4 linked regions of the Anolis sagrei genome follow. The main gene of each other region encodes a partner of the protein of the gene in region 2 in a complex. Links are inferred from orthologs where the notes say so. Each region holds a gene or a part of one and is shown on either strand. Other genes may lie near its edges. The genes, in order: CDC25C, YWHAZ, CRTC1 and PRKCE.

Evidence for each region.
Region 1: the proteins of YWHAZ (region 2) and CDC25C are in contact, whole or in part, in a crystal structure (PDB 5M36), measured with the Homo sapiens proteins. The link is inferred for Anolis sagrei from reciprocal best matches to the Homo sapiens genes YWHAZ and CDC25C. Residues at the interface, in NP_001129171.1 of Homo sapiens: Lys11, Glu14, Gln15, Glu39, Val46, Lys49, Asn50, Arg56, Arg60, Val61, Ser64, Lys120, Arg127, Tyr128, Glu131, Gly169, Leu172, Asn173, Val176, Glu180, Asp213, Leu216, Ile217, Leu220, Asn224, Trp228; in NP_001274511.1 of Homo sapiens: Gly210, Tyr212, Arg213, Ser214, Pro215, Ser216, Met217, Pro218, Glu219, Asn220, Leu221, Asn222, Arg223, Arg225.
Region 3: the proteins of YWHAZ (region 2) and CRTC1 are in contact, whole or in part, in a crystal structure (PDB 7D8P), measured with the Homo sapiens proteins. The link is inferred for Anolis sagrei from reciprocal best matches to the Homo sapiens genes YWHAZ and CRTC1. Residues at the interface, in NP_001129171.1 of Homo sapiens: Asn42, Val46, Lys49, Arg56, Arg60, Lys120, Arg127, Tyr128, Glu131, Gly169, Leu172, Asn173, Val176, Tyr179, Glu180, Leu216, Ile217, Leu220, Asn224, Leu227, Trp228; in NP_056136.2 of Homo sapiens: Arg147, Arg148, Thr149, Asn150, Ser151, Asp152, Ser153, Ala154, Leu155, His156.
Region 4: the proteins of YWHAZ (region 2) and PRKCE are in contact, whole or in part, in a crystal structure (PDB 2WH0), measured with the Homo sapiens proteins. The link is inferred for Anolis sagrei from reciprocal best matches to the Homo sapiens genes YWHAZ and PRKCE. Residues at the interface, in NP_001129171.1 of Homo sapiens: Asn42, Ser45, Val46, Lys49, Arg56, Lys120, Arg127, Tyr128, Gly169, Leu172, Asn173, Val176, Glu180, Leu216, Leu220, Asp223, Asn224, Leu227, Trp228; in NP_005391.1 of Homo sapiens: Lys365, Ala366, Leu367, Ser368, Phe369, Asp370, Asn371, Arg372.

Annotation. Positions count from the first base shown.
Region 1 is NC_090022.1:76,158,549-76,166,463, reverse strand, and holds the start of CDC25C (M-phase inducer phosphatase 3), read right to left. Parts: upstream 3,015-7,915; 5' UTR 2,785-3,014; intron 1,577-2,784; 5' UTR 1,564-1,576; coding exon 1,376-1,563; intron 723-1,375; coding exon 625-722; intron 1-624. Other genes in the region: oocyte-specific histone RNA stem-loop-binding protein 2-like, read left to right, coding at 3,406-3,458. UniProt on the Homo sapiens protein: Functions as a dosage-dependent inducer in mitotic control. Tyrosine protein phosphatase required for progression of the cell cycle. When phosphorylated, highly effective in activating G2 cells into prophase.
Region 2 is NC_090024.1:30,751,148-30,759,153, reverse strand, and holds the start of YWHAZ (14-3-3 protein zeta/delta), read right to left. Parts: upstream 3,018-8,006; 5' UTR 2,892-3,017; intron 1-2,891.
Region 3 is NC_090034.1:51,927,914-51,934,974, reverse strand, and holds the start of CRTC1 (CREB-regulated transcription coactivator 1), read right to left. Parts: upstream 3,002-7,061; 5' UTR 2,989-3,001; coding exon 2,806-2,988; intron 1-2,805. Other genes in the region: KLHL26 (kelch-like protein 26), read right to left, coding at 6,839-7,061. UniProt on the Homo sapiens protein: Transcriptional coactivator for CREB1 which activates transcription through both consensus and variant cAMP response element (CRE) sites.
Region 4 is NC_090021.1:27,413,665-27,420,571, forward strand, and holds the start of PRKCE (protein kinase C epsilon type), read right to left. Parts: upstream 3,007-6,907; 5' UTR 1,587-3,006; coding exon 1,239-1,586; intron 1-1,238.

The sequences.
Region 1 (7,915 bases), on a different chromosome or scaffold from region 2:
AATGGTATAAAGGTAATCCAAAACAAAGTACTTCGCTGAAGCTGGATTTTTTTTTTTTTTACAATATGCTTTGAATAGAAAGAGGAAAGTGAAGGCTCTAATTCCTGTGGAAAGTCACATTACCAGGATTAGGCAGGAGATTAAGAGACAATAACTCAGGTTGACCTTGAGTGTCTTAAGGTCATTTCTGATTTATGGCAAACTGCTTTGAGTCCTCCCGGGGTGAGAAAGGCGGTACATAAATACTGTAAATAAATAAATAATAAATAAACTTATCAGAAGGGGTTGAAAAAGATGAGCTGGTTGACAAGACTTGTGATAAGAAAATATATTACCATTAGGTGCATCGACACTATAGAAATAATAGTTGACATCACTTTAACTACCATGGCTTGATGTTAAAGAATCATAGGACTTGTAGTTTGCTGAGGCACCATCACTTTTTGGCTGAGAAGGCTAAAGACCTTGCAGAACTACAGCTTCCATGTTTCAATAGCACTGAGCCATGATTATTGTGATGTCAAACTACATTAAATCTGCAGTGTAGTTGCACAGTTATATTTATTGTGGAAATGATTAAATAGCAGATAGTATCAGAACTGTGTTTCTGGAAGTGATTATTACCATTTTCCAAAGTTTTTGAGGACTGGCTGAAGTTGAAGACAATTTCCTCTTCCCCGTTACTGAGATTGGAAAGATCTAGGCAGCGTCTTGGAGTGTCCCTGCAAAAATATAGTGAAAGGAATAAGTAGATAGAAACACAGTGTATAGAACTCCAGTGTGTTTTGGCTCTGGCAGTGCTGGACCAGAACCTAGGTTAGGAGATCGAGTGTCTAGTTTCCACTGGCCCATAGGAGTCATATTTGCCAACCACCCTGCATGAATACCAAAATTTGTGGATCTCAAGTTCCAGTATATCAGTGGTTCCCAGCCTGTGATCCGTGGACCACCAGTGGTCTGCACAGTTGCAATGAGAGTGACTGGTCTCTTGAAACCCTCTTATAGTACCGAGGCTTATTAAATATGGTTTTCTGTGGGTGAGCAGATGGCAACTACTGGATGGCGTATGTTCTGTACCAGGAACTAGAGCTGATGTGGACTATTCAATGCAATTTTCTGAATCAGCACCCCAAATAACCAAACTGAATCTAAAGTTGACCAAAAACTGATTTGTAACCCTTTTGGTATTAATGTTGGAGAGTGGTCCCTGGTCAAAAAAGGTTGGGAACCACTGCATTATATACAATGGCGCAGTAAAATCAAGGTTTATCTAAAATGGCAAAATCAAGATCTTGGAACCTGTGGATGCAGAATCCATGGATACAAAGAGCTGACTGTATTTTCCATTCCACATAACTGCCCTGAACATATTTACCCTCCTAGTGTGCTGAGGTTCCCAAAATCCCAGGTTATACTCAAGACTGGAGTAAGAGGTAGTTGTGGAGAAAGAGGTGGAGAGATCTCTGATTCCCGGAAAGTATTAAGCACCGTCCTGCAGCCAGATCGAAACCCAAGGTCTGAACGAAGCACATCCGCTTCAGTGGGAGGAATGCTCTCTGACATGATGAGCAGACACCTGAAGACAGACATATACACAACTTACTATTACTCCTTTCCCCCCTACTACAGATTGAGCATTCCATATTCAAAAAACCCAAATCTTCCAAAATTGTCCACACGGGTGGCTGAGACAGGGACATCTGTTCTTCCTGAAACAAACTTTTTCTCATGCACTAAATTAGCAAAAATAATTCCCCTGACAGTACATTGTTCTGCTCCTTTGACACCATTTAAGGCAAAATACAGTTTGAGCATCCCTTGTCTAAAATTTCATAATCCTCTAAAATCCAAAAAGGCCCACCAGGGTGGCAGAGATAGCAACACCTTTGCTTTTTCTGACATTGATTCAATGTACACAAACTTTGTTTCATGCACAAAGTTATTTTTATTTTACAATAATTGCATATAAAGTTCCTTTTTGCCTATGTGTGTAAAAGTACACATAAAATATAAATGAATTTTGTGTTTAAGTTTGGGCCCCGTCACCAAGATCTTTCATTAAAAGGTAAAGGTTGTCCCCTGACATTAAGTCCAGTCATGTCTGACTCTGGGGTGTGGTGCTCATCTCCATTTCTGAGCCGAAGAGCCGCCGTTGTCCATAGACACCTCCAAGGTCATGTGGCTAGCATGACTGCATGGATATTTCATTATGTATATGTAAATATCCTAAAATATGAAATGCTTCTGTTGCCACGTATTTCAGATAAGGATGATTCAACCTGTATAAACAGAAAGAAACAGCACAAGCACTAGAACCACGAATGCATCTATACTGAGCATGGGCAAACTTCGGCCCTCCAGGTGTTTTGGACTTCAACTCCCACAATTCCTGGCCTTAGGCCTTTTCCTTTCCCCCCTCAGCCGCTTAAGCTTAAGCAGCTGAGGGGGGAAAGGAAGGGGCCTGAGGCCAGGAATTGTGGGAGTTGAAGTCCAAAACACCTGGAGGGCCAAAGTTTGCTCATACCCATCTATACTATAAAATTAATGCAGTTTGACACCACTTTAATTGCCATTCCTCGATGCTATGGGATCATGGGAGGTGTAGTTTTGCACACTTTTAGCCTTCTCTACCAAGAGAGCTGGTGCCTCAACAAACTACAAATCCCAGAACTCCATAGCAGTGGTCCAGGAGAATTAAAGTGGTTTCAAACTGAATTAATTCTAGGTGTAGGTGAACCTATGTCCAGCTACAGAGATAAAAGGTATTATATGGTCGAAACCCACCTTAAGGGGTGTCAGTGGTGCTTTAGAAAAGTCAAACCCGTTGGATCTTGTCCACTAACAAGGCTGGCTGGCTGCAGGTTCTGCAATTAAGACAGCAATACGAATTGGCAGCCCCCAGTTCCGCGCAGTCTCAACAAGTCCTTCAAAAAGTCCCCCCTTCCTTGTGGACAAACTGACCCACCCCGCCCTTCCCGTCAAGAACACAATTGAATGTCAGACTATTCAATTTGCCGCCCTAACATCAACCAATCACAAGCCACGCCCTCCGCCCTCCCAGCCAATCAGCGAAGCCCAGAAGAAGAAAAGCTCCGGCTGTCCTTTCAACAGCTTTCTCATTGGTCCGATGCTCGCAGTGACGTCAAGGAGGAGGGCGCGTGGAAAAGCTTATTGGAAGAAGCCGCGGTAGGCGGGGACTTCCTGATCCTTTTTGTTATTTTTCGGCGGTGGAGGATAGCCAACCTGATCCAGTCCAGCCAATCACTGAACAGAGGACTTACCCAACCCGATGCGATTGGTTGGAGATGCGTTCCAGGCTCCGCCCTGCCTTTCACGAGGAGGGAGATTTAAACCGTGGAGGTGGAGACAGACTCCTTAGAACTACGCCGGTGATGTTCTTGGTGGATGATGCAGTGTGGACGAATTGGGACTGAGAGCTGGGCTCCCGGGAGCAGCAGGTAACAGACTGTGGAAGGAGAGGCAGCCTAGCAGTCCTAAACAGGGCTAAGGGAAGATAGTTATTGATTTACGACATTTATATGCCGCCCTTCTCACCCGGAAGGGGACTCAGAGTGGTTTACAAGATATATATATATAGATACATACATACACACACACACACACATATACAGATACACTATATTATGTTATTAGCATAGTACAATTTCAGTATTAAATATTACTATATTGTACTACACCATTATACTTTGGCCACATCATGAGGAGACAGCAAAGCCTAGAGAAGACAATTATGCTGGGGAAAGTGGAAGGCAAAAGGAAGAGGGGCCGACCAAGGGCAAGATGGATGGATGGCATCCTTGAAGTGACTGGAGTGACCTTGAAGGAGCTGGGGGTGGTGACGGCCGACAGGGAGCTCTGGCGTGGACTGGTCCATGAGGTCACGAAGAGTCGGAGACGACTGAACAAATGAACAACAACAACATTAGTAATTACATGTAATATAAATATTTAATTATAATATCATATTATTATAATTATGGAGAAGAGCAAACCACTGACCACCTGCTGCAATGCAACCTGAGCCCTGCTACATGCACAATGGAGGACCTTCTTGCAGCAACACCAGAGGCACTCCAAGTGACCAGATACTGGTCAAAGGACATTTAATCAACTACCAAACCTGCCAATTTTGTTATTTGTCTGTTTGTTTGTTTGCTTTTGTTCTGTTAGAAATGTAATACAATTATCTGGTTGCCCCTGACACGATAAATAAATAATAAATAAATAAATAGTAGTATATTGCATTACATTATATTATTATAAATATTCTGTTAGTCTACATTATATTATATTATACTGCCCTGAGTCACCCATGGGCTGAGAAGAGCAGTATATAAAAATGGTAAATAAATAAATGAATAATATTATATTAATGTATTCTCGAAGGCTTTCATGGCTGGCATCGCTGGGTTGTTGTAGGTTTTTCGGGCTATATGGCCATGTTCTAGAGCAGGGGTCCTCAAACTAAGGCCTGGGGGCTAGATGCGGCCCTCCAAGGCTCCCGCTCAGGGTCAACCTAAGTCTGAAATGACTTGAAAGCACACAACAACAACAACAACAATAATCCTATCTCATGAGCCAAAAGCAGGCCCACACTTCCCATTGAAATACTAAAACGTTTATATTTGTTAAAATTATTCTTCATTTTAAATATTGTATTGTCTTAAGTGTTTGGGTTTTTTTGCACTACAAATAACACATGTGCAGTGTGCATAGGAATTCATTTTTTTTTCAAATTCTAATCCAGCCCTCCAACAGTTTGACAGACTGACCTGGTCCTCTGTTTAAAAAGTTTGAGGACCCCTGTTCTAGAGGCATTTTCTCCTGACGTTTCACCTGCATCTATGGCAAGCATCCTCAGAGGAGTGAGGTCCTCACTACCTCTGAGGATGCTTGCCATAGATGCAGGCGAAACATCAGGAGAAAATGCTTCTAGAACATGGCCATATATCCCAACAAAACCTACAACAACCCAATATTATATTATATATTATATTATTAGCATAGCACAGGAGACAAGGTGGAACTGCCCCCTGCCCCCCTCCTCTTCCCTTTTCCCCCTAGTTTTGAGGTGCATCTACTCCAGGCATAGGCAAACTCTATTATTTATTTATTTATGATATTTCTATCCCGCCTTTCTCAAAGCCGAAGGTGACTCATGGTGACTCAGCCGCTTAAGCGGCTGAGGGGGGAAAGGAAGGGGCCCGAGGCTGTTAGGAATGATGGAAGTTGAAGTCCAAAATACCTGGAGGGCCCAAGTTGGCCCAGACCTGATCTACACTGTAGGAATAAGTGGAGTTTGAGGCCACTTTAACTGCCATGGCTTGATGCTATGGAATCATGGGAACTGTAGCTCAGTGAGGCTCTAGAGCTCTGTTTGGTAGAAAAAACCTAAGATCTTGGAAAACTACAACTCCTAGGTTTCCATAGTCTTGAGCCATCGTGGTTAAAGTGGAGCCAAACTGCATTAATTCTATAGTATAGATGCACACATGTGCCCCAAATAGCCTTAACCTGTGATGCCTTTGGAACTTCAACTCCCTGAAGTCCCAGCCAGTTTGGCCTATTGTCAGGGATTCTGGGAACTCTAGTCCAAAATACCTGGAGGACCAAAGAGTGAGAACCACTGGTCTAAACTGGACAATTGGGTTTTAGCAGGGGCTCAAAATAGTAAATGTTTGTTTTCTAGTTGCAGGAGAAGAAATGTCCTCTAACTCTGGCTAAAGACTATTTGTGTATTGGGAGAAGAACCTAGCAGTAATCATTTGAAATTCTATGCCCCACCTTTTCAAGTAGGAAGTGTTTCATTTATGGGTAGTTTCTGATAGCAGATCGTGATTTCAAATCAGGTGCATCTTTTTGAAACATCCTGCATTTTAAACAAGCACTAACTTGTGGAAAGAATGGATGTAAGAAGCTCCTCTGCTCCTTTCGGACTAATTCTAGTTTTGCTTTTCTTAACAGCATCATTTCTCACCATAAGGATGGTTACATTTAAGGCTTTGTTCCTGTTATGAACAATATAAAAAGTGGTGAAAAGTTAGTCTGGAAATTGGCTTTTCAATTTTGTTTTTATTGTCTGGACCAGGGGTCCACAAACTTTTTAAACAGAGTTTTTTGGCCTAGAACTCCCAAACATGAATGCCTATGCACACCGCACATATCTTATTTGTAGTGCAACACCCCCCCCCCCACACACACACACTTAAAAACAATACAATAATTAAAATGAATGATTTTTAATATAAACTTACTAGTATTTCAGTGGGAAGTTTGGGCCTGCTTTTGGCTGATGAGATAGGATGGTTGTTGTGGTTGTTGTTGTGTGCTTTCAAGTTGTTTCAGACTTAGGTTGACTCTTAGTGAGGGCCAGGTAAATGATGTTGGAGGGTTGTATTCGGGCCCCGGGCCTTAGTTTGAGGACCCCTGGTCTGGACCAACACAATATCTGCGACTTGTTACTCATTTACAGGAAACTGCTTGGATGATCATCTTATGCATTGGGTGTTCATAAAACAAATGTCTAACCTTAAGAGCTGCAGCTCACTGCTAGTATGTCACCTGTTTTTGAAATAGACTAGTAGATCACCAAAATAGGGGTAGGATGAAAAAAGACGATGAATATTTGTTGTTTGCCTTCAGGTTCTTTTTGACTTATGGTGATCTTATCATGGGGTTTTCTGTGGCCAAAAAGGGAACTGAACTCTGGTCTTCAGAGTAATAATTCATAGGTGATCAGTTGTGGCGGAGTAAGATAGTCTTCCAAGGGTAAAGTCTTGGTGGTGGTTCCATAACTGACTGTAGACACCTGTTCTGGATGCTCATGGTTGTTCACAACGAGGACACAGATTTCCAGCAGGAAGGCGGTCACAGCAAGGGTTTGCTTGATGCACCTTCCTTGGTGCATTTCTCCTTTTCGCTTTCTGTTTGAACCTCATTGAATTCACAGCACTGTTGGTAACAAGCTGACCTCCAGTCGAGGAATGCTTGAGGACCAGGGCTTCCCAGTTTTTTGTGTTTGTTCCACATTTTTTTAAGATTAGCTTTAAGCCCATCTTTAAATCTTTATTTGCTGTCCACTGACATTCTGTTTTCCATTCTTGAGCTGAGACTAAAGTAACTACTTTGGGAGATTGTGACTGGGTATTCAAACAACGTGGCCAGCCTAGCCAAGTTGATGGAGGACCATCACTTCAGTGCTGGTAGTCTTTTCTTCTGCCAGAACACTGACATTTTCTGCCTGTCTTTCCGAGCAATTTGCAAGATTTTTTTTGAGGCAATGCTGATGGAATCTTTCAGAAGTTGAGAGTGGCATTTGTAGACGGTCCATGTTTCACAGTAAACGGTCAATAGCTTTGTAAACAAGCATCTTGTTCTCCCTACAAATGTCCTGATCTTCAAACACTCGTGTTTCATTCAAAAACTGCAGCACTTGCAGAGCTCAGACAGTGTTGCACTTCATTCCAATGCTCAGACCACTCTAGGTTCATAGACCACTTCACCATGCTGAATATAGCATGGCTATAAACATCAACAATGCCCCTCTTTGGCTTTGGTTCTGTTATGTGCCTTCTAGTCACCTGTCAACTTACCATCACCCCATGAATCTCATAAGGTTTTCTTAAGGAATCCTCAGAGGTGGTTTTGCCAGTTCCTTCCTTTGAAATAGAGCCCACAACACCAGGCATTGGTAGTCTCCCATCCAAGTATTCATCAGGGCTTGCTCTGCTTAGCTTCCAAGCTCAAAAAAGATCTGGCACCTTTAGGATATTTGGTAGGTTTGCTTAAATGTATAACAGCCTTGGCTGCCAAATAGAAACTGGCATACCTGCTGAAAATGTTGAAGCAGAGAAGGTTACAGTTATTGATTTTAGCTAATAAATACGTTCAGGAA
Region 2 (8,006 bases):
ATGGCAGTGTGGGCTCAGATAAGCAGATATTGTGGGATTTTCTCCCTTGATATTCTGGGTTATATGGCTGTGTGAAGGGCCCTGGGTCATCTGAGCCCACACCATCCCATGACCCAGTTCAAAGCAGATATTGTTGGATATTCTGCCTTGATATTCTGGTTTATATGGCTGTGTGGAAGGGCCCTGAGTGGGCTGAATTTCTCAGTGGGGAACAGAACCTAAACTGGCTTAATCCAGATCTCCAGTCACAAAATTGTACCTCTTCTTGCCCGAGGCAGCCTATCCCTGGGGAAGTTTAAGCCATCAATGTGTCCAGGAGACATCAGGTTTTACCAACCATCACCAGCAGTCTGAAACACTACCCACCCTCCTCCCTTTTTTATTTTATTCTGGAAGGGCCCTGGGTTATCTGAACCCACACTGCCATATAACCCAGTTCAAAGCAGATATTGTGGGATATTCTGCCTTGATATTCTGGTTTATATGGCTGTGTGGAAGTTGAGTTGAATCTCTCAGTGGGGAACAGAACCTAAACTGGCTTAATCCAGATCTCCAGTCACAAAATTGGCTGGATGGCCATCTGTCAGGGATGATTCGAATGCAATATTCCTGCTTCTTGGCAGGGGGTTGGACTGGATGGCCCATGAGGTCTCTTCCAACTCTTTGATTCTATTATTGTACTTCTTCTTGCCTGAGGCAGCCTATCACTGGAGAAGTTTAAGCCATTAATGTGTCCAGGAGACATCAGGTTTTACCAACCATCACCAGCAGCCTCAAACACTACCCACCCTCCTCTTTTTTATTTTATTCTGGGTTATAAGGTTGTGTGGAAGGGCCCTGGGTAATTTGAGCCCACACTGCTACATAACCCAGTTCAAAGCAGATATTGTGGGAGATTCTTCCTTGATATTCTGTGTTATATAGCTGTGTGGAAGGACCCTGGATTATCTGAGCCCACACCGCTACATAACCCAGTTCAAAGCAGAAATTGTGGGATATTCTGCCTTGATATTCAGGTTTATATGGCTGTGTGGAAGGGCTCTGGACTATCTGAGCCCACACTGCTACATAACCCAGTTCAAAGCAGATATTGTGGGATATTCTTCCTTGATATTCTGTGTTATATGGCTGTGTTGAAGGGTCCTGAGTTATCTGAGCCCACACTGCTGCATAACCCAGTTCAAAGCAGATATTGTTGGATATTCTGCCTTGATATTCTGGTTTATATGGCTGTGTGGAAGGGCTCTGAGTGGGTTGAATTTCTCAGTGGGGAACAGAACCTAAACTGGCTTAATCCAGATCTCCAGTCACGAAATTGTACTTTTAGGCCATCAATGTGTCCAAGAGACATCAGGTTTTACCAACCATCACCAGCAGTCTGAAACACTACCCACCCTCCTCCCTTTTTTATTTTATTCTGGGTTATAAGGTTGTGTGGAGGGGCCCTGGGTTATCTGAGCCAACACTGCCATATAACCCAGTTCAAAGCAGGTATTGTGGGATATTCTGCCTTGAGATTCGAGGTTATATGGCTGCGTGAAAGGACCCTGGGTTATCTGAGCCCACACTGCCGTATAACCCAGAATCTCAAGGGAGAAAAATCCCACAATATCTGCTTTGAACTGGGTTATATGGCAGTGTGGGCTCAGATAAGCAGATATTGTGGGATTTTCTCCCTTGATATTCAGGTTTATATGGCTGTGTGGAAGGGCCCTAGGTGGGTTGAATTTCTCAGTGTGGAACAGAATCTAAAATGGCTTAATCCAGATCTCCAGTCACAAAATTGTACTTTTAAGCCATCACTGTGTCCAGGAGACATCAGGTTTTACCAATCATCACCAGCAGCCTCAAACACTACCCACCCTCCTCTCTTTTTTATTTTATTCTGGGTTATAAGGTTGTGTGGAAGGGCTGTGGGTTATCTGAGCCCACACTGCTACATAACCCAGTTCAAAGCAGATATTGTGGTATATTCTACCTTGATATTCTGGGTTACATGGCTGTGTGGAAGGATCCACAGACCCACCTATTTCTCCCGGTTTTCGCCAAGGAAGGAAGGAAAGAAGGGAGGGGGAGAGAGAGGGGGGGAGAGAGAGAGGAAGGAGGCGGCCTCTTGGCGATCCCTTCCTCCTCCTCCTGCGGCGGCCACACCCTTTCAAAAAAGCGCCCGAGATGAAGGAGTGGAGGCGGCGGAAGGAAGGGAGGCAGGCAAGGAGGGAGGGAGGGGGAGCAAAGAAAGGGATGGAGAATGGAGAATAGAATGGAGGAGGCAGTGTGCTCCCCAACATGGCGCCCCACCTCGCCTGCCTCTCCTCCAAATCCCTCCCTCCAAACTGAAGGGAAGAGGAGAGGAGGTCGGTGTGGGCACTTCCCCTTCTTCCATCATGCCTGAAGAGAGAGAGAAAGAAAGAAAAGAAAGAGAGGGAAGGAGGGAGGGAAGGAAGGAAGGAGGAGAGTCCCCCTCCCTCCCTTCCCTCCATCTTTCTTCCTGGCGAAAATAAGGGACACCGCCCTGAGGGCTTCACCTGCCTCAGGGAAAGGGAAAAAATGGCGCCCCCGCCTCGCCCACTTAAAACCCCCTCCCTCCAAACAGAACCATGTTCCTCCCTTCCTCTCGATCTGAGGGAGGGAAAGGACGAGGGAGGCACCTGCGCCCCAGCAAGAGAGGGAATGAATGGCGCCGCCGACGCCCTGAGAAGACAAGGCCGCGGCTCTTCCCTCTTCCGACGCTCCCCCCCCCCCCCCCCCACTTCTCCTGTTTTGCGGGCTCTTCCCGCCACTGCCTTCCCTCCCCCCCGGAAAGAAAGAAAGGAAACGATAGACAAAGGAAGCGGAGGGAGGGAGGGACCGAGATGGGAAGAGCCCACCCTCCTCGAGAGGCCGTTCGTTACCTTGCGGGGTCGACACTACGAGAGAGTCCCTTTAGGCGGGTGACCGGCGCGGACTGTGCCTCCCTCGTTCGCAGCAGCCTCTCTCGCTCTCTCTCGCTCTCTCTCACACACACGCACGGGGTCTCCGCCAATCACCGCGTCGCAACGCACGGGCAACACAGAGCCCGTGACGTCAAGCGGCGCCATGGCAACGGCGAGCGGGCGGTAGAGGGAGCGAGAGCGCGCGCGCCCTGGAAGGCGCCTACACTTCCCCTCCCTCCATTCGCGCGCGCGCACATACACACACTCTCTTTCTCTGCCTCTCGCGCGCGCCTCACCTCTTTTTCCGCTTTCCAAAGCGATGGACTGCACCAACCGCCGCGAGAACGAGCGCGCGCGCTCGCCTCACTAGGACACTTCTCTCTCTCTCTCTCCTTTTCCCCTATGCTGATGATCGTGCCATTTACCACTCAAGCAGAGAGCTTTGAGATGTATTGTCGAAGGCTTTCATGGCTGGGAATCACTCAGTTCTTGTGGGTTTTTTCGGGCTATATGGCCATGTTCTAGAGGCATTTCTCCTGACGTTTCGCCTGCATCTATGGCAAGCATCCTCAGAGGTGACCTCACCTCTGAGGATGCTTGCCATAGATGCAGGCGAAACGTCAGGAGAAATGCCTCTCGAACATGGCTCTATAGCCCGAAAAAACCCACAAGAACTGAGCTTTGAGATGGTTGAAAAGAAGCTCTCCAAAGCTCTAGGTCAGCATTTCTCAACCTGGGGGTCGGGACCCCTGGGGGGGGTCGTGAGGGAGTGTTAGAGGGGTCGCCAAAGACCATCAGAAAACACAGTATTTTCTGTTGATCATAAGGGTTCTGTGTGGGAAGTTTTGGCCCAATTCTATCGTTGGTGGGGTCAAGAATACTCTGATTGTAGATGAACTATAAATCCCAGCAACTACAACACCCAAATGACAAGGTCTATTTCCCCCCCCAAACTCCACATTTGGGCATATTGAGTATTTGTGCCAAGTTTGGTTCAGATTCATCACTGTTTGAGTCCACAGTGCTCTCTGGATGTATTTGAACTACAACTCCCAAACTCAAGGCAATGCCCACCAAACCCTTCCAGTATTTTCTGTTGGTCATGGGAGTTCTGCGTGACAAGTTCCGTTCAGTTCCACTATCGATGGAGTTCAGAATGCTCTTTGATTGTAGGTGAACTATAAATACCAGCAACTACAACCCCCAAATGACAAAATCAACCCCTCCAACCCCACCCGTATTCAAATTTGAGCATATCAGGTATTTGTGCCAAATTTTGACCAGTGAATGAAAATACATCCTGCATATCAGATATTTATGATGATTCATAATGGTAGCAAAATGACAGTTTTGTTATGGTTGAGGGTCACCACAACATGAGGAACTGTATTAAGGGGTCACTGCATCAGGAAGGTTGAGAACCACTGCTCTAGGTGCTCTTACTGCCTATTACAGGGAAAACGAACTGATCCCTAACCCATCTGAAACACAGACGTGTGCTTTTCATCTTAAGAACAGACAAGCATCCCGAGCTCTGAGGATTACCTGGGAAGGATTCCCACTGGAGCATTGCAACACACCCAAGTACCTGGGAGTCACTTTGGACCGTGCTCTGACCTACAAGAAGCACTGCCTGAACATCAAGCAAAAAGTGGGCGCTAGAAACAACATCATACGAAAGCTGACTGGCACAACCTGGGGATCACAACCAGACACAGTGAAGACATCTGCCCTTGCGCTATGCTACACTGCTGCTGAGTACGCATGCCTTTCACCTTAAGAACAGACAAGCATCCTGAGCTCTGAGGATTACCTGGGAAGGAATCCCACTGGAGCATTGCAGCACACCCAAGTACCTGGGAGTCACTTTGGACCATGCTCTGACCTACAAGAAGCACTGCCTGAACATCAAGCAAAAAGTGGGTGCCAGAAACAATATCATACGAAAGCTGACTGGCACAACCTGGGGATCACAACCAGACACAGTGAAGACATCTGCCCTTGCGCTATGCTACTCTGCTGCTGAGTACGCATGCCTTTCACCTTAAGAACAGACAAGCATCCCGAGTTCTGAGGATTACCTGGGAAGGAATCCCACTGGAGCATTGCAACACACCCAAATACCTGGGAAAATATAGACCCCTGACTGATCCCACAGCAAGCTGGCTTCGGAAAAGGCAAAAGCTGCACATTGCAAGTGTTGAACCTGACTCAGCACATAGAAGATGGCTTTGAAAGGCAGCAGATCACAGGAGCTGTCTTCATAGACCTGTCAGCAGCTTATGATAGTGTGAACCACCGCCTCCTCCTGAGAAAAATGTATAATATCACAAAGGACTACCACCTCACCCGCCTCATAGGAAACCTGCTACAAAACAGGAGCTTTTTTGTTGAGTTCAGGGCCAGAGAAGCAGATGGCGGAAACAGAAGAACGGCCTGCCTCAGGGGAGTGTGCTTGCTCCATCCATGTTCAACATCTACACAAATGACCAGCCACTGCCAGAAGGGACGGAGAGTTTCATCTATGCTGATGATCGTGCTATTACTGCTCAAGCAGAGAGCTTTGAGATGGTTGAAAAGAAGCTCTCCGAAGCTCTAGGTGCTCTTACTGCCTACTACAGGGAAAACCAGCTGATCCCTAACCCATCTAAAACACAGACATGTGCCTTTCATCTCAAGAATAGAGAAGCATCCTGAGCTCTGAAGATCACCTGGGAAGGAATCCCACTGGAGCATTGCAGCACACCCAAATATCTGGGAGTCACTCTGGACCATTCTCTGACCTACAAGAAGCACTGCCTGAACATCAAGCAAAAAGTGGGTGCCAGAAACAATATCATACGAAAGCTGACTGGCACAACTTGGGGATCACAACCAGATACAGTGAAGACATCTGCCCTTGCGCTGCGCTACTCTGCTGCTGAGTATGCATGCCCAGTGTGGAACACATCTGACCACACTAAAACAGTGGATGTGGTTCTTAATCATCATCATCATCATCTTTGAATAACTTATTAATTGCCCTCCATCCGAGAATGCTCTAGGCGATTTACAGCTAAATTATAAAAGATAAAATACATATATACAAAAATTAAAAATCAACAGAGATCGAATGCTCTAGTAAAAACCCAGGTCTTAAGTGCGAGAGTAAAAGGCCCTAAGTCACGCATGGCTCTCATGTAGGGCGGCAAGGAATTCCACAAGGCAGGGGCAGAAATAGAAAAAGCCCTGCGCCTGGTCCTTTCCAAGTGCACTTCTCTAGGATCCGGTATATGGAGTAAGTCATGTTGGGCTGGTCGTTGCGACCTCTGATGATGAGAGAAGGAGAGGCGGTCCCTAAGGTACGATGGACCCTGGCCGTAAAGAGTTTTAAAGGTCAGAACTAGCATTTTATACAGGCCACGGTACTCAGTTGGAAGCCAATGTAAATGTAGCAGCACTGGTGTTATATGGCATTTCATGGGCGTTCTTGTGAGTAGCCTGGCTGCCGCATTCTGAACAATACGAAACTTTTGGGTCGTAGACATTGGAAGGCCAACATATGTATTATATACATTGTATATACATATAATATTTATAATATTGTAATGTAATGTAATGCAATATAATACTACTACTAATAATATGATATTATAATTATATATTTATATTACATGTAATATTACTAATAATATTACAGTATAATTGATATAGTGCAATATAGCAATATTTAAAACTGATATTGTACTATGTTAATAATATATTGTATGTATATATACCTTGTAAGGCGCTCTGAGTCCCCTTCGGGGTGAGAAGGGCGGCATATAAATGTCGTAAATAAATAAATACAGGGCGTTGCAATAGTCCATGCAGTAGACATGCCGCATTATCACGGGGTGTCTGCGCCCTACACCACTGGAGAAATTACACTGCTTAGCCTGTATTGCACCACCTGACATCCGCCGGGAAGTAGCAGCCAATAGTGAAAGGACCAAGGCAGAGACATCTCCAGCTCATCCCCTGTTTGGGTATCAGCCAGCACGTCAACGACTTAAATCTAGAAATAGTTTTCTAAGATCTACAGAGACACTCGCTGGAACACCTCAGCAAGCGAGAGTCCAAAAGTGGCAGGCCCAAACCCAGCACCTCAGATGAGAGACTCCCTCCTGGGCACACAGAAAACTGGGCGACTTGGAAGGCGCTGAACAGACTGCACTCTGGCACCACGAGATGCAGAGCCAACCTCAAGAAATGGGGCTACAAAGTGGAATCCTCGACATGCGAGTGCGGAGAGGAGCAAACCACTGACCACCTGCTGCAATGCAACCTGAGCCCTGCTACATGCACAATGGAGGACCTTCTTGCAGCAACAGCAGAAGCACTCCAAGTGGCCAGATACTGGTCAAAGCACATTTAACCAACTACCAAGTTTGCAAAATCTATGGGTTTTTTTTGGTTTTTTTTAATCGGTGTGTTTGTTTTGTTCTGTTAGAAATGTAATACAATGGTATGGTTGCTGATGACACGATAAATAAATAAATAAATAAATAAATCCTCTCTCCCCCCCCCCCCCCCTTTCCTTTCCCTTTCCCAACTCTCGCGCTCTCGTGCGCGCGCTCCCTCATCGGGAGCGCGCGCACCGCCTCTCCTTTCCTCCCTCCCTCCCCAACTTCCTCCACTCCCCTTCACCCCTCCCACTCACTGCAGAGCGCGTTGGCTCGCGCATGCGCCGCACGCACCCGCCGCTCCTCTCTCTCTCTCTCTCTCTTCTTTTCTCTTCCCTCCCTCTCTCCTTCCTTCCCAGTTCAGGCTGCGAAGGAGATGGACACCTCCTCTGCTTTCTCCTTCTCGCCCTCTTTTTGTGCAGAAGGCGGGCAAAAGGATAATACAGGCCCACCAAAGGAGACAAGAGCATCCCCAGCCTCCCTTCCCTTCTCCCTCCCTTCACACAAAGTCAGAGAAACGGCCTGCTTCCAACTCGAGACGCCTCCTCCTCCTCCTCCTTTCCGGTCTCCGGCCTGCAGAGGCCTTGAGCCAAAGCTCAGTCATTCAAGGCCACTGTGAGGGAGGAGGAGGAGGAGGAGGAGGAGGATGGGATAGAGACGTGGCCTTCAG
Region 3 (7,061 bases), on a different chromosome or scaffold from region 2:
TGATTCAATTCCAAACTGAAGGTGTTAGTTGTTTTTTTATGTGTTATTATTTAGCAGAGTTATGACATGCCCTTCTCACAATATGGAAACTCACAATGAAGTTACCCCTTCATCCTCCACCTCTGCTCAAACGTATGGATAGATAGATAACATATAAAACAGTAATATTATCTATATGCATTCTTGAGTCCTTCTCACAGGTTGAGTATCCCTTATTGGACATATATTCCAGATCTTAGACATAGGACCCAAGTCTAGGCATGAAATGCATTTGTGTTTCATTGAAGGTAATTTCTGGATTCTGGATAAAGGATGCTCAACCTGTATCTACAGATCACTCCTTTTCTGAAGGGAAAGAAGGAACAAGAAGTTGTTAAATGTACAGCAACAGACCCACCTTTCTCTCAAGCATATGGTTTTGCGCATAAGTTGTGGGAAATGGGAAGCAATCCATGTAAATCAAGGAGGGTGGATACAGAATATAAACCGAGAAAAGGGATTTGTTTCTCTAAACCAAGGAAGGGGATGCTTGCCTATAAACTGAAGAGTAGGACTGAATCCATATCAACTCAGAAGTGGGATTTAATCCATATAAACCGAGGAGGAAGAGGTTTATTGCATATAAATTGAAGACTGGGAATTAATCTATATACACTGAAGGTTTAGTATATAAACTAAGAGGAGAGATGCAGCCTATAATAAGCTGGGGAATGGGAATTACTGCATATGACTTGAGGAATGGGAATTATTGCATCTAAATTGAGGGTTTAGTATATAAACTGAGAGGAGGGATTCTCTCTATAAACTAAGGAGTGGAGATTCATGCATATAAGTTGGAGAGTGGGAATTAACCTATATACATATTCATACACACACACACACAGTAGGGGGGTATACTCCTATACATTCAGGAGGGGTATTCAACCTATTATTATTATTATTATTATTATTATTATCAGACCCTTATACATTCAAAGGGGGAATCCTTGCATAAACATTGAGGAATGGGAATGAATCTGAGAAAGGAGGGAATGTAACCATATAGCAACAGCAGCAATAACAGCATCATATGCCCCTATACAGCCAGAAGGGGAATTCAACCATAATAATAATAATAATAATAATAATAAATCATAGACCTCTATGCATTAATGAGGGGAATTCAACCTAATAATAACAATAATGCAATATCATAGATATAATTCTATACTATCATATTAGGAGGGGAATTCAATCATATAATAATAATATCATTAATAATAACAATAATTCACAGACCCCCATACATTAATAAGGGGAATGCAACCTAATAGTAATGATAATTTAATTTCAGCTATCCCTATACATTCAGGAGGGGAATTCAACCTAATAATAACATTTTTTGTGTGTCAGGAGCGACTTGAGAAACTGCAAGTTGCTTCTGGTCCAGCAGTCCTGCTGGCACAAGGGTTTAACCCACTGCGCAAGGGTTTAACCCACTGGATAAAAAGTAATACTAACAATGATGATATATAATAAATATAATAATACTGATAATTTAATTTCAGCAATCTCTATACATTCAAGAGGAGAATTCACCCATGATAATATATTATAGATATAATAACTATAATATAGTATAATATCAGGAGGGGAATTCAACCATATAATAATAATGATAATAATTAGGTTCTTGTAGGTTTTTTCGGGCTATACGGCCATGTTCTAGAGGCATTTCTCCTGACGTTTCGCCTGCATCTATGGCAAGCATCCTCAGAGGTAGTGAGGTATCCTCACTACCTCAGAGGTACCTCAGAAGTATCCTCACTACCTCTGAAGATGCTTGCCATAGATGCAGGCGAAACGTCAGGAGAAATGCCTCTAGAACATGGCCCTATAGCCCGAAAAAACCTACAAGAACCTAGTGATTCCAGCCATGAAAGCCTTCGACAATACAATGATAATAATAATAATAATAATAATAAATCATAGATATAATATGGTATCGTATTACAAGGGGAATTCAACCATATAATTATATCATAGATATACCAACAACAACAAAAACAATAATATATCATAGACCCACAAGATCTTGGCCTGCACTTGAAAACAATCAGCGCTGACAAAATTACCATCTGTCAGCTGCCAAAGGTCACCCTACTGGGATCTGCACACATTATTTACCGATACATCACACAGTCCTAAACACTTGGGAAGTGTCCGACGTGTGATCCAATACAAATGTCCAGGAGATTCCACATAAACATTAGGAAGAACTTCCTGTGAGAGCTGTTCTGCAGGGGAACTCTCTCCCTGTCCGGGAGTGTGGTGGAGGGTTTGAAACAGAGGCTGGATGGCCATCTGTTGGGGGTGCTTTGAATGAGATTGTCCTGCTTCTTGGCCGAATGGGCTTGGACTGGATGGCCCACCATGTCTCTTCCAACTCTATGATTCTATGTTTCTAAAAGCCAGCTGAGTACTAAAATCTTGTTGTGTATCAAATAATAATATTAATATATCATAGAGCCCTACACATTCAGGAGGGGAATAATAATAATATACGATAATATATGAGAAGAAATCCTTCTAAAACGGGGCTCTAGCTGAGGAAGGGAGGAATTGAACCCTGTTGTTTTGATTTGCGCCTGCCTGCTTTCCCCCGACCTGGCCTCCCCGCCCATCCCTGAGCGTTCCCCGTTAGTTCCCCGGGGCGTAGGCCGTAGCGCCCCCCGCGAAGCCCCGTTTTCCTGAGGGGAGAGGCTGGGGCGGGCGTCCCCTGCTGGGCGTCCCCTGCCCGCTGCTGGGCCCGGAGGCCTTCCTTACCCGGTGGGCCCTGGTTAGGCTGAGGTCCTTCATAACCTCCTCGAAGGCCGCCGTCTCCTCGGCCTGCTTCTGGTTGTGGAGCGCAATTTTCTCGCTGAATTTCCGCGGGTTGTTCGACGAGGCCGCCATTTTAGCCCCGTCCGCATCCCTCCCTCCCCCCGTCCTCCGGGCACCACTGCACATGCGCGTCTATATCCTTTCCCCCCCACACACACGCACGCACTGCGCACGCGCCATCGCGGAGGAGGCGGAGGCCCTCTTTTATTTCCTCACCCCTCACTGCGCACGCGTGAGAAGGGGCCGACTTCAGGAAAGGCGCATGCCTCCAAGCGACAAAGCTTTCTTGCTTGCGCATGCGCAAAGGGTTCCCTCGCCACTATATATACATAGCGCATGCGCAAAAAGACTTAGATGCTATATACACACATACACACACAGAACAAGCAAAATGCTTACTCGGCTAAATACAGAGAACGCATGCGCAAAAGGCTTCCTACGTTCTATTTCGAGCGCGTGCGCAAAATGCTTCCTCTGCTATCTACACAGACAGAACATGGGCTAAAAGCGTCCTCTGCAATATACAGAAAGCGCATGCGTAAAAGGCTTCCTCCGCTAGCTGCACACACAGAGCATGCGCAAAGGGTTCCCCACCGCTATATACTCACACACAGCGATCATGCGCAATGGGTTACCCGCTGTACACAGAGCATGGGAAAAAGGCTTCCTCTGCTATATTCAAAGAACGCATGCGCAAGAGGCTTTCTCCGTTATATATAGAGCGCATGCGCAAAAGGCCTCCTCCGCTAAATACACAGAGCATGCGCAGAGGCTTCCCCGCTATCTACATAGAGCAGTCGGGAACCGTTACACTCCGATATATATACACACACAACGCATGCGCAAGAGGCTTTCCCCTGCTCTAAATATACACATACGCTCCTTTGAAGGCCCCATTTATCTTTCTATTTAAATAAGAATAAGTTTTCTTTACATGGATGGCGGTGATGATAATAATATCAGAGCTTTCTTTACATGGATAAAAAGTAATTATTACTATATTATTAAGTTATTATAGTTATTACCAAAGATTTCTTTACATGGATTATTTTTATCAACATCAGAGATTCCTTTGCATGGATAATACGAATAATATTAGAACTTTCTTTAGGTTTATTATTATTATCGGAGCTTTCTTTACATGGATATCAGAGCTTTCTTTATGTGGATAAATAATAGCATCAGAGTTTTCATGTTTATGATTATCATTATTGTCAGAGCTGTCTTCACAGACCTGTCAGCAGCTTATGACACTGTAAATCATCGCCTCCTCCTGAGAAAAATGTATACTATCACGAAGGGTTACCACCTCACCGGCTTCATAGGAAATCTGCTACAAAACAGGAGCTTTCTGGTTGAGCAGATGGCGAAAACAGAAGAACGGCATGCCTCAAGGGAGAGTGCTTGCTTCATCAATAGTTGACTTTTACACAAATGGCCAGTCACTGCCAGAAGGGACAGAGTTTCATCTATGCCGATGATAGTGCCATCACCACCCAAGCATGGAGCTTTGAAATGGTTGAACAGAAGCTCTCCAACACTTTAGATGGTCTTACTCCCTATTATAGGAAAAACCATCTGATTCCTAATCCATCTAAAATGCAGGCATGTGCTTTTTCACCTTATGAACAGACAAGCATCTCGAGCTCTGAGGATGACCCGGGAAGAAATCCCACTGGAGCATTGCAGCACACCCAAATACCTGGGAGTCACTCTGGACCGTGCGCTGACTTATAAGCACTGCTTGACAATCAAGCAAAAAGTGGGTGCTAGTAATATTATCATATGAAGGCTGAAAGCACAACCTGGGGATCACAACCAGACACAGTGAAGACATCTGCCTTTGCGCTTTGCTACTATGCTGCTGAGTACACATGCCCAGCATGGAATACATCTTACCACATTAAAACAGTGGATGTGGATCTTAATGAGACATGCCACATTATCACAGGATGTCTATGCCCAACACCGCTGGAGAAATTTTACTTTTTAGCCGGTACTGCACCACCTGACATCCGTCAGGAAATAGCAGCCACCAGTGAAAGGACCAAGTCATTGACATCTCCGGCCCTTCGTCTGTTTGGATACCAGACAACATGGCACTGCCTTAAATCAAGAAATAGCTTCCTAAGATCTACAGATATACTCACAGGAACAACTCTGCAAGCAAGAGTCCAAAAGTGGCAGGCTAAAACCCGGAACCTCAATCAGTGGCTGAGACTGGATTACAGACTCCCTCCTGGGTACACAGAAGGCTGGGTGACTTGGTGCTGAACAGATTGCTCTCTGGCATCATGAGATGCAAAGCCAATCTTAAGAAATGAGGCTACAAAGTGGAGTCCACAACATGCAAGTGCAGAGAAGAGCAAACCACTCTTACTACAATGCAGCATGAGTCCTGCCATATGCACAATGAAAAGCCTTCTCACAGAGGCGCTCCAAGTGGCCAGCTTCTATTCAAAGGAAATAGTATAATGCCAAGTTTGTAACTTTGTTTGTGGTTCTCCTATACGTTATAACTGTATTCTCAATTCGTTTCTGACACGATAAATAAATAAGAGCTTTCTTTACATAGATATTATTATTATTATTGTTATTAGTATTACCACAAGAGCTGGAGCCCCCAGTGGTGCAGTGGGTTAAACCCCTGTGCCGGCAGGACTGAAGACTGACAGGTCGCAGGTTCGAATCTGGGGAGAGGCGGATGAGCTCCCTCTATCAGCTCCAGCTCCTCATGCGGGGACATGAGAGAAGCTTCCCACAAGGATGATAAAAACATCAAAATCATCCGGGGCGTCCCCTGGGCAACGTCCTTGCAGACGGCTAATTCTCTCACACCAGAAGCAACTTGAAGTTTCTCAAGTCACTCCTGACACAACAAAAAAAAAACCACAAGAGCTTTCCTTAACCAGATTATACTATTACAATTATTATTTTATCATCATTATAATCATCCATGTATAGAAAGCTCCACCATACAAGTCAAAGCAGCTCTGTGCCAAACATGCTTATAGTGTGATCTTGGCATCCCATCTGTCATACAGACAACAGACACACTCAAACACGCTTGGAAATATCGACTTTAATGTTTACATTCGACAATACCCAACAGGGAGACGACATGCATGTTTCGGTGCCCTTGCTCTTTCCTTTTAGAGCTTCAATGATGACTTTAAAGCTGTATTCCAAATCCCACTCTATCACTAAAGAAAGACAGCCTGGCCATTGCTCTTTTAGGGACAAATAATGGCCAGATTCGGCCTCGATTTCTGCTGCAAAGGAGCAAAACTCAGCAGGGTTTCTTTAACTTAGCTGAAGCAGAGAGAAATAAAATGTATTATTTATTCCCTTTCTGGAGAGAAAAAAACAACATCGAAGGCCGTCCAATCAGCCTCTTACTGAGATCCCAAGGCACTGGAGGAAAGAAGAGAGGCCTGACTACTTTGGATAGAAATAAATAGGTAAATGATGTCATAGAAATACAGCAAAAAAAACCAGGTGTGCTTTTCAAGGAGGAAACAAAATAACAGGTATGAAACCAAGTATTTTTCGTTCCTTTATAGAGTCCCCACCTCCACCCCTCTTATAATTCTTATTGCTTTAAGTCAGGCATGGGCAAACTTCGGCCCTCCAGGTGTTTCGGACTTCAACTCTCATAATTCATAACATCCTATCAGCTGTTAGGAATTGTGAGAGCTGAAATCCAAAACACCTAGAGAGCTAAAGTTTGCCCACACTTACTTTAAGTGATTTGATTCACACAAAATGGGGATAAAGCCTTGGCCGAAGGAAGAGGAAAACCAACAGTAAAGGGAGAAGTTGCCATCCTCTAGTCAGGTTTGACTCATATTAATGTTTGCAGGTTCGAAAAGAGGAAGGCGTATGTTCATAAATAAAGGCGGAAGGGCCCAGCCGCCGAGATACAGCTTTATTTGGCATGCAGTGCATCTGGAGACCCAAGGGACGGCTGCGAGGGTCACCTCCGGGCCACGTCCTGTGGGAGGACGACTGGGGCACAGGCAATGCCCGCAAAGGACTCTGGGATGTGCAGGTCCCGCTCCCACTCATCGGTCTGGGTGTTGTACACCTGCACGATACTGGTGACGTTGTTGAGATGCCAGTTGTAACCCCCCACCACGTAAATGCGGTCCTCCAAGAGGCAGCAGCCGGCCTCTGACTGCCCAGCCCTCATGGGGCTC
Region 4 (6,907 bases), on a different chromosome or scaffold from region 2:
CTACTCTTTTGCTAAGCTATTTGTGATTATCTCAGGAGATTTAGTTATGACAAACGTTAGGGCTAGATGGTCTTTGGGACCCTATAGAACTGTATGATTCCATGCCAGTGCGCTAGATATTACTGGGGAATTAAAGACCTGGGGGGGGAGGGGGACCTTGGTATTTATTTTGCCATTGTGCTAAAGCTGCTCAGCAAAAGACTGTCTTGATCAGGCATGGGCAAACTTGGGCCCTCCAGGTGTTTAGGACTTCAACTCCTACAATTCCAAACAGCCTCAAGCCCTTAAGTGGCTGGGGGGGGGGGGGGGGAGGAAGGATCCTGAGGCTGTTAGGAATGGTGGGACTTGAAGTCCAAATCACCTGGAGGGCCCAAGTTTGCCCATGCCTGATCGAAAGTCAAACACTGGTTGGGCAAGCATAACCCTGTAACCACCAGAAGGCACCAGGAGCCCAACCTAAGAGTCACTCATGTTCGCTTATGCTCTGGAAAATTTAGAAATAAGTACATGTCTAGGTAAGCAAACACTTGTAAGGGCCCCTTGGTGGTGCAGTGGATTAAACCACTGAGCTGCTACAGTTGCTGACCAAAAGGTTGGAGGTTCGAATCCAGGGAGAAGAATGAGCTCCTGCTGTTTGCCCCAGCTTCTGCCAACCTAGCAGTTCGAAAACATGCAAATGTGAGCAGATCAATAGGTTCCACTTCTGCGGGAAGGTAACGGTGCCCCGTGCAGTCATGCGGGCCACTTGATCTTGGAGGTGTCTACGGACAACACCAGCTCTTTGGCTTAGAAATGGAGATGAGTATCACCCCCAGAGTTGGACATGACTAGACTTAATGTTAGGGGAAACCTTTACATTTTATTTACTTGTCTGCTTACTTAAGAAAAATATTCGGAATCGCTTGCATGAGAGACATGTGCAAATAAAACTGGTAACTGTCAAGGCTAAAATATTTTCACTCAGTGGGGAGGACAGGATTGAGTGTGCCTCCATGCTCACATGCCAGACTTGGAAGCCTTGAAAAACACATCATCCAGAGATGTACAATGTGGGCACCTGCCTGACCACCATCTCCACCTGCTTTCACCGTCTCCACCTGCCTTCCAAGATGTGGCATGTCACCGACACATCTGTCAAACAAAGAGTGATATACCACTGAGCTCAAAAGCCATGTATCTAGACTGACAGATAAACCAACCCAGACCGACACGGATGCGCAAACGGTCTGGCCACTCACCCAGTCCTCGAAGTGGCGGCTCCCATTCTGCAGCAAGTCTTCAAACTGGATCGTACAGTTGGCCACAAAATCGTCGTACCCAATGGGGGCATCGTGGAAAACGGCCATCTCGATCTTCCGTCCGTTGTTCACGTCCGTGACAAACTCATCATTCCATGCAGGGCTGTTGGTCTTCTGCTTGGTGGAAGTCTGCCCGATCCTGGAATCGTCCACATTGAGGGCAATGTACGGGTCCAGCAAGAAGGTCTGGGGCTTGGGACCCACGGCATGGCGGAGTGACCACGCGGTGGGCTTGAGATTGACGGCTTCGCAGATCTTGATTTTCAGCATGCCATTAAAAACCACCATGGTGAGATGGCTTCACTTGGGACTCTGTGTCCTGGTCCTGGTCGTCGGCCTCCTTCCCCCCCTTGGGACGAAAAGCACACTCTGTGAAGCCAGGAGCGAGATCAGTGTGGAGGTTCCTCCAATAAATAAGAAGGCGGGCTTCGGCAAAAAAAAAAAAAAAAGAAGGGTTCTGGCAGAAAAGCAGCCTGAGAGTAAGGGGGTTCCTTTTGGTTGCTTGCTACCTATGTTGAGTTAGCCTTTCCTCTTGCGACACCCAGTGAAGACATACATGCATGCATACATAGACATACATAGGGGAGACTGAGACTCTTTGCTAGTGTGTGTGAGAGAGAGACAAAAACAAGGAGGGGAGGGCGCTCTACAGTCCCTGGTGTGCAGAAATCCCAAAATGCACAATCAAGAGGAGGGTGGGTGCATTTATTTTTTCACACAAACACACACACACACACACATGGACTTTCCTCCTCTTCCCCTCCCCTCTTCCCTCCCCCCCTTTCTCTCCCCCACCCCTCTTTAGAGCATAATCCTGGATCAAGTCTTCCTTCTGCAGCAGCAGCAACAACAACACCAAAAAAGCAATCCGGCGTCCTTGCAACGCTCTAGTGCTGTCTTGTCTGGGTGTGCAGCAGGAGAAGAAACAACACAAGAAGGGAGGGGAGAGGAGGGGAGGAAAGGGGGAAGGGGGGAGAAGAGAGAGAGAGAAAGAGAGAAGGGAGGGGAATCTCAGAAACAGAGACACACACAGAGAGAGAGAAAGAAAGAGCCCTCCTTCGCCACCCAAGCCAAACACCCAGCCCTGCCTCCTTGACGCAGCCGCCCGATTTCTTCCTTCCTTTCTTTTTTGGCTTGAGAAAAAGGGGAGGGAGGAAGAGATCAAAAAAGGGGGGGAAATCTCCCAGTCCGGAGAGCCTTACATCCGCCTCGGCTGTTGCTGCTGCAGCCGCTTCCTCGCCGCCGCCGCCGCCGCCTTCTTCTCGGCGTCCTCCTCTTCCTCTGCCTCCAAGGCCAAAGATCCAGTGGATCGGATCCAAGGCATGGGGAGCCACTGATCCGGATCGCTGGGGGGGAAGGAGGGGAGGAGGGAGGGGGCAGGAAAGGCGTGGGGATCTCTCTCTCTCTCTCCCCCTCTCTTGCTGCGTTTCCTTGTCTCTCTCTCTCTCTCTAATTAATATATTTTCTTAATGCAACAGCGCTCCACCCCGCAACGGCGTTGGTTGCCTGGCGCGTTGGGTTGGGAAGGGAAAAAGAAGCGCGTTGGGTTGGGAAATGGGGAGGACAGGGAGGGGGGGCGAGTGTAGATCGGGCTGATCTCCGAAGCGTTCCCCCCCCTCCACCTCGGTGTCTCTGTCTCTCTGTGTGTGTGTGTTTCTCTCCAGTGCAGGAAATGCGCAAAAGACGTCAGGGGCGAGCGATGTGTGCCTCTGTGTGCGCGCCGAGAGAGAGAGAGAGAGAAAGTTTTTGCCTCTTGGGGGAGCCGTGCGCTCTGGGCCAGGCACACCAAAGTTGGGGGGGGGGGAGTGTGGACAGGGGGCTTCTCCTTTCACTTGGGGGCAGATTGGAGGCGAGGAGGAGGAAGAGAAGGGCGCACCTCTCTTTCTTTCTTTCATTCTTTCTTTCTCTCCTTCTGTTTCTTTAGGTCAGTGGTTCTCAACCTTCCTAATGCCACGACCCCTTAATACGCTTCCTCATGTTATGGTGACCCCCAACCATAAAATTAGTTTCATTGCTACTTCATAACTGTCATTTTGCTGCTGTTATGAATAGTAATGCAAATGTCTGATATGCAGGATATATTTTCATACACTGGACCAAATTTGGCACAAAGACCCAATACACCCAAATTTAAATACTGGTGAGATTGGGGGAGGGTATTGATTTTGTCCTGTGGGAGTTGTAGTTGCTGGGATTTATAGTTAAACTACAATCAAAGAGCATTCTGAACTCCACCAATGATGGAATTGAGTCAAACTTGGCACACAGTTCACCTATAACCAGAGAGCACTGTGGACTCAGACAATGATGGATCTGGACCAAACTTAGCACAAATACTCAATATGCCCAAATGTAAACACTAATGGGGTTTGGGGAAAATAGACCTTGACATTTGGGAGTTGTAGTTGCTGGGATTTATAGTTCACCTACAATCAAAGAGCATTCTGAACCCTGCCAACAATTGCATTGGGCCAAACTTCCCACACAGAACCTCCATGATCAACGGAAAATGCTGTGTTTTCTTGTGGTCTTTGGTGACCCCTCTGACACCCCCTCGCGACCCCTCCAGGGGTCTCAACCCCCAGGTTGAGAAACACTGCTTTAGGTCTTTCTTCTTTCCTCCCTCCCTCTCCTTCCCAATGGTTTGGGGTCGATTCCAATAGCAATAGGAACCCCCTTGGCTCTCTATTGTTGAAGGCTTTCATGGAATCACTGGGTTGTAGATTTTCTGGCTGTATGGCCATTTCTAGACCAGTGTTTCTCAATCTTCCAAATGCTGCAACCCCTTAATACGTTGTGATGACCCCCAACCATAACATTATTTTTGTTGATACTGACCAGGTGTGCCTTGGTTTGACCACACCTGGAATCTTGTGTCCAATTCTGGGCACCGCAATTGAAGGGAGATATTGACAAGCTGGAATGTGTCCAGAGGAGGGCAACTAAAATGAGCAAGAGTTTGGAGAACAATCCCTATGAGGAGCGGCTTAAGGAGCTGGGCATGTTTAGCCTGCAGAAGAGAAGCCTGAGAGTAGACATGATGAGGGCCATGTATAAATATGTGAGAGGAAGCCACAGGGAGGAGAGAACAAGCTTGTTTTCTGCTTCCCTGGATACTAGGACGCGGAACAATGGCTTCAAACTACAAGAAAGGAGATTCCATCTAAACATTAGGAAGAACTTCCTGACTGTGAGAGCTGTTCAGCAGTGGAACTCTCTGCCCCAGAGTGAGGTGGAGGCTCCTTCTTTGGAAGCTTTTAAGCAGAGGCTGGATGGCCATCTGTTAAGGATGCTTTGAATGCAGTTTTCCTGCTTCTTAGTTGGGGTTTGGACTAGATGGCCCATGAGGACTCTTCCAACTCTATGATTCTATGATTCCTTCCCTCCCTCTCCTTCCCGATGGTTAGGAGTTGACTCCAATAGCAATAGGAACCCCCTTGGTTTTGTATTGTCGAAGGTTTTCATGGCCGGAATCGCTGTCATTTTAGTCATCCTCCTCTGGACACATTCGAGCTTATAAACATCTTCCTTCAATTGTGGTGCGCAGAATTGGACACAGTATTCCAGGTGTGGTCTAACCAAGGCAGAATAGAGGGGTAGCATGACTTTCCTGGATTTAGACACTATACTCTTATTTATGCAGGTCAAAATCCCGCTGGCTTTTTTTGCCACCACATCACATTGTTGGCTCATGTTTAACTTGTTGTCCACGAGGACTCCAAGATCTTTTTCACACATACTACTGTTGAGTCAGGCATCCCCCATTCTTTATCTTGGCATTCCATTTTTTCTGCCTTAGTGGAGCATCTTGCATTTTGCACTGTTGAACTTCATTTTGCTAGTTTTGGTCCATCTCTCTAATCCAGGGGTCCTCAAACTTTTTAAACAGAGGGCCAGGTCACAGTCCCTCAAACTGTTGGAAGGCCGGATTATAATTTGAAAAAAAACACGAATGAATTCCTATGCACACTGCACATATCTTATTTGCAAAAAACACTTAAAAACAATACAATAATTAAAATGAAGAACAATTTTATCAAATATAAACTTATTAGTATTTCAATGGGAAGTGTAGGCCTCTTTTGGCTGATGAGATAGGGTTGTTGTTGTTGTTGTTGTGTGCTTTCAAGTCATTTTAAGACTTAGGTTGACCCTGAGCGAGGGCCGGGTAAATGACCTTGGGGGGCCGTATCTGGTCCCCGAGCCTTAGTTTGAGGACCCCTGCTCTAATATGTTAAGATCATTTTGAATTCTTCTCCTGTCATCTTCTTTCTTTCTGTTATTCTTCCTTCCTTCCTCCCTCTCCTTCCCGAAGGTTAAGGGTCGACTCCGATGGCAATAGGAACCATCTTGGCTTTGTATTCATAGAATCATAGAATCCTGGAGTTGGAAGAGACCTCATGGGCCATCCAGTCCAACCCCCTGCCAAGAAGCAGGAAAATTGCATTCAAAGCACCCCTGACAGATGGCCACCCAGCCTCTGTTTAAAAGCTTCCAAAGAAGGAGCCCCACCACACTCCGGGGCAGAGAGTTCCACTGCTGAACGGCTCTCACAGTCAGGAAGTTCTTCCTAATGTTCAGATGGAATCTCCCTTCTTGTAGTCTGAAGCCATTGTTCCACGTCTTAGTCTACAGGGCAGCAGAAAACAAGCTTGCTCCCTCCTTCCTATGACTTCCTCTCACATATTTATACATGGCTATCATATCTCCTCTCAGCCTTCTCTTCTTCAGGCCAAACATGCCCAGCTCTTTAAGCCGCTCCTCATAGAGCTTGTTCTCCAGACTCTTGATCATTTTAGTTTCCCTCTTCTGGACACTTTCCAGCTTGTCAATATTTCTCTTTAATTGTGGTGCCCAGAATTGGACACAAGACGTTTGTTGAAGACTTTCATGGAATCACTGGGTTGTTTTTTGGGCTATATGACATCAAGTCTAGTCGTGTCCGACTCTGGGGGTTGGTGCTCATCTCCATATCTAAGCCGAAGAGCCGGCATTTTCAGTAGACACCTCCAAGGTCATGTGGCCAGCATGACTGCATGGCGTGCCATTACCTTCCCACAGAAGTGTTATCTATTGATTAGCTCACATTTGCATGTTTTCAAACTTCTAGGTGGGCAGAAGCAGGGACTAACAGCGGGAGCTCACCCTGCTCCCCAGGTTTAAACCACCAACCTTTCGGTCAGCAAGTTCAGCAGCTCTGCAATTTAAACCACTGCGCCACCAGGGGGCCTATAGATACCATATTCCTATTTATTTCTTATCTGCCTCTCTCTTTGGATTGAGGTGGGGAACAACCATAGAGCAATCATGTAGCATATGGAACCAATGTATGCATATTATGAAGCATATGGAACCAATGTATATTTAAATCAATGTTTTAATATTCATAACAAAAATAACCTGCAGACAGTGTTACCATCTGACTAATCAACAGGTCCTTCCACAATCTGGGGGTGGATGGATAAATAAAACTTAGTTCAGACTGACAAGTAAATATTCTCCCTGGGACCTGAGCGTACAGGGTGGATTACAGTTTTAGCAATATTTGAAAAAAATTCTGTTCCTGGTTTGAAAGTATTGTTTCCTGTTTAATTATGAAGTACTTACTT